2 linked regions of the Cricetulus griseus genome follow. The protein of the gene in region 2 interacts with the protein of the main gene of each other region in a pairwise test. Links are inferred from orthologs where the notes say so. Each region holds a gene or a part of one and is shown on either strand. Other genes may lie near its edges.

Region 1 (3,909 bases), on a different chromosome or scaffold from region 2:
CAGAAGCACCTGGAAGCAGATCAGGAGGTCAAAACAGCTTCAGTCAGCCACATAATGAGTTGGAGGCCAGCTTGGCTTCCAAAACCACCAAAAACATTTTTTGGGGGAGGGGCCACATAAAACACTATGAAAATTTAAAGTCTAATACAACTTAGCAATGGAAATTAAATCTTGTCATTTCCCAAAAGAAACTGATTACCAAGACAGTTCTGAGCCACATACAATAAACTTTTCACTCCCTGACCAACATCTGAGATGGACAGGATCTTAACATTTCCATGGGCTCAAGGTGCAACCAAGTCCTGGCTAACTTATTAAGCAAAGTAGGACAAGATTATAAACCACATTATTTGTTTAGAAGAAGAGTCCCTAGCTATTATGGACAGAGTAATCATGTCTAAAATGCTGTTCAGCATGCTTCAAACTTTACTGAACTTTTCTAAACTAGAAAGTAAAGTTTCCAAAGGCTTTTTAAGAGAGCCTTAAAACTTTCAAGTAGTTAGGAACTATGGCTCGGAACAAATCTAAGAATTAGTTTGTTCATCAACCAGGAGAAAGAAAATTAGCTTATTAAGAAGTGTTGTCTCCAATGTTAATGTCACTCAAATAAGCAAATTAATAAATTCATATTTTAACTGCTTCACAGAATACACTATATCCAAATTATTTTTTTGTTTTTTCAAGACAGGGTTTCTGTGTAGCTTTGGAGCCTCTCCTGGAACTCTGTAGACAAGGCTGGCCTCGAACTCAGATCTCCCTGCCTGCCTCTGCCTCCTGGGACTAAAGGCGAGCACCACCTCTGCTCAGCTAAGAACCTGCCTAAATGAAAATGAAAGCACTGAGACACAACCTACAGGTTCCAGTCCAACTTGAAACAGTGTAACATCAGTAATCCATAAACGTCAGTAACCCACAGAAAGCTTTAAGTAACAACAGAAGATAGCCTACTGAAACAATAGTACCCGGCTAATTCTTAGCATCATAATGAATCAGGCCTATATTAACATTCCTATACAGTATTTTTACATTTGGGATTATTTATTTTCACTCTGCCACATGGTACATGCTCCTATGAGTAAGTCTTTATATTCCAATAAATTAAAAAAACACCCTAAGAAATAATAACAATAAAATCATCTACCTTCAACTCAAGTTTTTATACTACACATCAAAGGAACGAACACAACACCAAATAGAGCCAAACGTTCAGAAGTCTAACCCCAAACAGAAATTAGTGCTGCTCACTTATTAACAATGAAACACCAAAGCAAAAGCATCCTGCTTTAAAACCATGCACTTTAGAATCAAGCCAAATCCATTTCAAAAAGTGAATGAACTTAGTGCCAAGGTGGTCACTATATCACCATCAAGCTACCCATCAGTGACAAACTTGAGCTGAAAAACAAAATGTCTCATTTGTGTGCTGAAATTAACTTCCTTACATGACCTGGAAGAAAGCCACTCTCCTATAAAAATGCTCTGGAGTGCAGGAATATATAACGTTCCACTTTTAGGGTGAGGACACCCCAAGTAGTAAAAAGTTTTTATTAATTCGGAAAGTAACAAACTACATGGAAGAAACACAAATACCTTTGGCACACTCTCACACAAAACATATGGCTGCTTTCAACCTCGCTTATTCACCTAGAAACGGACACACTATCAAACACCCCCATTATCTGGAATTCACTTGAATATGCACACAACAGATTTGTTAGCAAAAACCACCATCACCCCATCCGGCTTACGCTGGTATTTTCGGTTTATAGGCGAGTCCTGGAGCAACTAAAACCAGGAAACTCCAGGGTACTCAGAAAACTTAGGGGAAGTCACCTTCGGAGAGGTCTAAGACCCAGAGAAACAAAAGTGAGCCAGGAAGATCTCTCTTGGCCAACTCTTCTTTACAACCATCAAAACTTCACCCACACCGGACTTGTAAGTCCAAGTGGGGGAGGCCATTTTAATGAGGCCTGTCTGAGGAACGTGAAGAGAGAGGAAGAGAGAAAAATCAGGGTAGGACGTTCGGAAAGGAACGCCAAGTACTTCCCCCAACAGCATCCAAGTCGGGTGGCAGCACCAAGAGCCCAAAAAGTGAGGAGCTGTATTTAAGGGCTCGACAGGGTTACGAAAGTAGCAGTGGCTTTCTCCAGAGAGGGGGCCGAGTGATCTGAGCCGTGGGAACCAGGCTCCTTACCCCCAAGGGGGGGAAGGACTTCTTTCCCGGCCAGCCGCGCCGACCCTCGCCCTCCAGTCAGAGGCTACTACCCAGAGGTCCAGAAGGCGGGAGTTGGCTAGTGCCGGGTTCTCCTCATCCGGCCATGCGGCGCGGGGGCGGCCATCCTGAGGGGTCCGGGATCCAAGAGGGCTCGGGGGGGCCGGACGCGGCGCTCACCCGCGGGCCGCCTCCAAGCTCTTAATGAGCTTCTTGATCTTCCAGATCTCCACGTTCCTATCGGCAGCACTGGGGTCGTCCGCCATCTTCTCGCCTCCTCCTCCCTAGAGCGGCCCGGCGGGGCCCGGAGACACCAAGACCACAGAGTTAGCGCCGCCGCTGGGGCAGAGCGGCCCCCTTCTTCGCCACCTCCCGAGCTGCCCTCTTCTCCCCGCCCCGACAGCCCGCCGCATAGGGCGCCGGCCTTTCCTACGCCCGCTTTACCTAAGGGCCCAGTCCTGGGCGGTAGCGGCTGCTCCTCCCCGGCGGCGGCTCCGCGGCGGCGGCGGCTCTGACGTAGGACACCGGCTCCCTCTCTCCAGGCAGCTGCATGTGTTGCAATCCGCTCACATGGGGCCTCTGATCTCACTTCCTCCGCCAGGGGCGGAGTGGAAGGCGGCGGGCGGAAGGGAGGGGGCCTGTGCGACGAAGAGAAGCTTTGCGCGCGCCGCGACTTCCCATTGGTTCTCCGCGACTCTGCTTACAAGAGGCGAGCTGATTGGCTGCTTGTGCGGTCGTGCTGCCTTGTGAGGTATAGGCCAGGAAGCGGGAGGTACCGCCTTCCTTCCGGCCCGGCTAGCCTGGAGGAGGAAGCGGGGTGAATCCGGTGGCTCTCGCGAGCATTTTCTCAGCTTCTACGGGCTGGAATGGGGGTGGCTCTTAAAGGGCGCGAGAGAGTGGTCGTTGTCTTTCGTTCTTCCCCATTAACGTGAATGGACATCTGAAGCTCTGCCACGCAGAGTCTAGCTTCTCGGACCGACGCGTATGTACGTGCGTGCGGTCTAAGCTGTTTGAAAAGCTTTATCGCTGACCATATGCGGTGCGCCACACCTCATCGTGGCTTCGCGAACAAAAGTTCAGAATTCTGGCCTTTAGGATTGGATCAGGAACTTCGCCGAGGCTGGAGCCGATCGGCTGCGCAGGAGGGTTTCCTATCGTTTCGTTGCTAGCTACTGCGGGTTCTCTTTGGATCTGGGACTTCTGGGGGTTGAAGGGTGAAAGGGTTGCCTGAGGTTGGAGACCCAGAGTATCTGAGAGCATGCGTGTTGTTGTTTTTTAACTGTTAGCGTAGAGGTGGGGAGAATGTTGGAAACGTTGGAACTGTTAAGAGTTAAGCTTTCCAATTGTCTCTCCCTTCGCTTCACTTGTGTGCATTCAAATATTTGAACTCGGAGCAAGTGCTAGATCACGTTTTTCTGGATAAAGAGGTGAACCGAGTAAGTAATATAACCCTAATGGAGTTCACAATCCAGTTGAGTTTATAACCGTTCGTGAACTTTTTTATTTTTTCGAGACAGGGTTTCTCTGTAACCCTGGCTGTCCTGGAACTTTGTACAGGAGGCTGCTTGCTTCTACCTACCAATTGCTGGCTTGCTGGCGCCACGGCCACCTAACAGCCGTAAATCATTTTTAGAGTTTCGTTTGTTTGAGAGAGGATCTTGGTGTTGGCCTCAAAATCCGGGCAATACTCCTGCCTC
Region 2 (3,838 bases):
GTCTACAGAATGAGTTCCAGGACAGCCAGGGATACCTTTCTCCAAAAAGAGACCTGTCTCACAACAAACAAGCCAGCAAGCAAACAAGCAAAAAAAAAAAAAAAAAAAAAAAAAAAAAAAAAAAAAAAAAAAAAAGTAGTCCTGGGGATGGCTTTTCAAGCACAAAGCCCTGGGCTCCATCCCAGTACCACTTAAGTCAATTGTGATTATGAATGTCTGTAATTCCAGTACTTAAGAGACAGAGGGGCTGGAGAGATGGCTCAGAGGTTAAGAGCACTGGCTGTTCTTCCAGAGGTTCTGAGTTCAATTCCCAGCACCCACATGGTGGCTCACAACCATCTCTAATGAGATCTGATGCGTTCTTCTGGCGTGCAGGCATATATGGAGGCAGAATGGAAGCAGAATGCTGTATACATAATAAATAAATCTTAAAAAAAGAGAGAGAGAGACAGAGGCAGATGAATCAGGAGTTTAAAGTCATCCTTGGCTACATAACCAGATTAGGGCCAGCCTGGGCTACATGAGACTCTATGGGGGAAAAGGAGGAAATAAAAAGAAAATACCAAACAGAAGCTTTCCTCCAAACTTGAATGACTGTTCCAGTCTCCAGGGGAGATGGCTATGTTGGCCTGTCTCACTCCTGGTGACAGCTGAGCCCAGGCCCCAGCCCTGACTCACCTCCCCAAAGTGCATGTAGATATACTCCCGGGCACGCTGGTGAAGCTCAGTGCAGCCAATCTGCTCAGCGAAGTTGGCAATGCCAATGGCATTGCTAGGGTCCAGCTGCTGCACGAGGAAGTCGCTGCAGGCTCGGACCACACTGTCAATCTGATACATGACTGCACCATTCATCACGTGCAGCACACACTTCTCGCCCACGGAGATGGAGGCCGTGTAGGCGAACTCAATAAGCCTCTCCATGACCTTAGGGTGGATACCTTCAATGGACACCACCTCCATTCCCTGCTCCCGAAGCCCATTGGTGAACATGGCCTTAAAGACAGGGCTGGAAGAGGCCAGCACCACCTTGTGAGCCATGAATTGGGCAGCTGGGATGTCCTCGTATTTGACCTGCAGGGTCACATCACAGAGCTGCTGGCTCAGCCGAAGCTCATTCATGATGCCAAAAGCCTGCTTGGTGTGGTCCTCTAGCGTGTAGCTGAAGGTGCGGTTGCCGTCCTGGGAGGGCGTCACCTCGGCCTTGCACTCCGTGGAGGCGTACATCACCGCGTCCCCGGCCCCCTCGGGGCACTTTGACGACAGGGGCAGGAACTGGCTGCTGCGGGGAGCCCCGCTAGGCCTGGGTTCTGGCTGCATGGGGTTCCGGGTGACAAGTTACAATTCCACCACTAGCAGTTAGGGTCCTGGAGGGAGGGAAGAGTACAGAGCTGGGAATAGGTGAGGACAGACCTTGCAACGCTTCCTTTTCTGTCTTTCCTTTTTGTTTTTTTTTTTTGGAGATAGGGTCTTTGGGAGCCCAAGTTAGCCTCAAATTCACCATTTAACTAAGGCGGGCTCTTGAACTACTGATCCTCCTCTGTGCTGGGATTACAGTGTGTGCCGCCATGCCCAGTCAGGCTTCCTTTAGAAAAATTAAGCAAAAGTTTCTAGAACAGTTTGCCAAGCCAAGTAAACTGCATAATCCTGACTCCATTCAAACTAATTAGTCCCAACTCACTCGCCTGAAGGCTCGTCTAAGAAACATATCACATCATGTCCCTTTCTGCTCAGAATCGCCCAACACCTTTCAACAAGCCCAAGAATGGAAACCTACCTCAATGGCCTGCAAAGGCCCACAAAGTCAGCCCCTTTCCAACCTCTTCGCTCACTGTCCCAGCCATCCTTCCCTTCCCTGCCTCCAACAAGCCAAATTCCTTTCTTCAACACCTCACCAAAATTTACAGAGCCTGCCAAGTATGTAGTAGGCACTGTTCAGAGCTCCAGGAACACAGCAGGAAGAGAGAGGAGGCCTGAAAATACAGTGTAGAGGAAACACTGGGTGCCAAGGTTCTGGGGCAGAAAGTGTGGGCATCAGGAATGCCCACCATGGGCTATACAGGGACCCAGGAGCCCCCTGGAGAGCTGGGGCCAGGGGACGCGGTATATTTTGAATCGGGGATGTGGGGCGAGGGTTTTGGGGCTCAGGCTGGAATCGCATCCCCCTCCCGGTGTTAGGATGTCTATGAGAGCACCACGGTGGGGGTGCCGGGGGCGGTGGAACGCACCAGGGCCCCAGTAAGTGAGCGACTGTCACGCGTGACCACACTGCCGGAGCACAGGCCTGGCATTGCGCAGGGGGCTGCGCAGCGACGACCCGGTGCCCGGCGCCTGCTCCGGCGGCCTCCCCACCGCTCGCTCGGAGGCGCAGCCCAGACGCCTGGAGGGCCCGCAGGGCCTGATCCCGGGCCCCGGCCCGGAGCGGCGCACTCACCCCGCCATGGCCGCGCTCCGCCTCCGCCTCCGCCGCGCGGGTCACGGTGACTAAGCACAGCGCGCCACCCTGTCACAATAAGAGTCCCGGGGCGCCGGCCGCGGGCGACCCCTCCCCTTCACTCGCCGGCCGCGGCCGCCACCTACGCCGGCGGGAGGGCGGGCTCGGCGGCCCGGGTGCGCACCGGGGGCACGCGCTCCCCCCACCGCGTGCACGGCCCCCCACGCGCGGCCGCGGGCGGCACTCGGAGCCGACTCCCCATCGCATCTCCGCGGGTGCTCGCTCACCTCCGTCCCACCCCCCGGGTGTCTGTGTCGGTGCCACGCGTCCAATCCGCGCCGCCGGGCCGCCACGCGCCACGCTTCCGGGAGGAGCCGAGGGGACCCGGGGGTCCTTGGATCGGGGCCGCGGTGCTGCGGGGTCGCTAGCGGGCAGCACGCGTGGGAGGAGCGGGAGGGCGGAAACGAGCGGCGGGCACGCAGAGGCGGTTCCAGCCCTTCCTGCAGGTGCCGGGCGGAGGGAGCAGGGCGTGGGTCTGGGCGGCCCTAGGAGCCTGCCTCCGGGTTAGGCTGTCGGGGCTCCTCCTGCACCCTCCGGCCCTCCCACATCCCACACCCACACGGTCCGGCTGGACCCATCTACCTGGTTGATTTTATCTATATGTATATCTTTTAAGATAACTTTATAATGTTTGCATTTCAGTTTGCGTGTATGGGTGGGTGTTTAGCCTGGGTGTCTGTGTACTGTGTTCCTGCATTGCCTTCTGAAGTCACAGGTGGCTGTGGGCCACCGTGTGGGTGGGGGAATTGAACTCTGGTCCTCTGCAAGAGCTGCACGTACTCTCAAATGCTGAGCCATCTCTCCATCCTTATAACTTAAACAAAAATTTATTAATTTTATGTATGAGCGTTTTGCCTGTATGTGTATATGTATGTACGCCACGTGAATGCTTGGTGCCCACCGAGGATGGGATTCCCTGGAACTGGGTCTACACAAGGTTGTGTGAGCATTCGGGATCCGGGAATCAAGCCTGAGTCCTCTGTAAGAGCAGTATGTCATTGTTTCTTTTGTTTTTCTTTTTTTTAAGATTTTATTTATTTATTATGTATACACTTGTCTGCATGCATGCTTGCACACCAGAAGAGGGCACAAGATCTCATTATAGATGGTTGTGAGCCACCATGTGGTTGCTGGGAATTGAACTCAGGACCTCTGGTAGACCAGCTAGTGTTCTTAACCAGTGAGACATCTCTCCAGCCCCCCAATTTTTTTGTTGTTCTTATTTTTGGTTTTTTGTTTGTTTTTGTTTTTTGAGACAGGGTTTCTCTGTGTAGCTCTGGCTGTCCTAGAACTCACTTTGCAGACCAGGCTGGTCTTGAACCCACAGAGATCCTCCTGCCTCTGCCT

The links.
Region 1: the proteins of Keap1 (region 2) and Etf1 interact in binary tests that used the Homo sapiens proteins (3 or more experiments, as listed by UniProt). The two-hybrid records come from large-scale screens. The link is inferred for Cricetulus griseus from reciprocal best matches to the Homo sapiens genes KEAP1 and ETF1.

The regions. Positions count from the first base shown.
Region 1 is NC_048595.1:202,567,443-202,571,351, reverse strand, and holds the start of Etf1 (eukaryotic peptide chain release factor subunit 1), read right to left. Parts: upstream 2,815-3,909; 5' UTR 2,657-2,814; intron 2,497-2,656; 5' UTR 2,479-2,496; coding exon 2,393-2,478; intron 1-2,392. UniProt on the Homo sapiens protein: Component of the eRF1-eRF3-GTP ternary complex, a ternary complex that mediates translation termination in response to the termination codons. The eRF1-eRF3-GTP complex binds to a stop codon in the ribosomal A-site.
Region 2 is NC_048597.1:134,095,536-134,099,373, forward strand, and holds the start of Keap1 (kelch-like ECH-associated protein 1), read right to left. Parts: upstream 2,967-3,838; 5' UTR 2,719-2,966; intron 2,582-2,718; exon of another isoform or gene 2,432-2,581; intron 2,394-2,431; exon of another isoform or gene 2,226-2,393; intron 2,210-2,225; exon of another isoform or gene 1,971-2,209; 5' UTR 1,775-1,970; intron 1,365-1,774; 5' UTR 1,318-1,364; coding exon 679-1,317; intron 1-678. UniProt on the Homo sapiens protein: Substrate-specific adapter of a BCR (BTB-CUL3-RBX1) E3 ubiquitin ligase complex that regulates the response to oxidative stress by targeting NFE2L2/NRF2 for ubiquitination.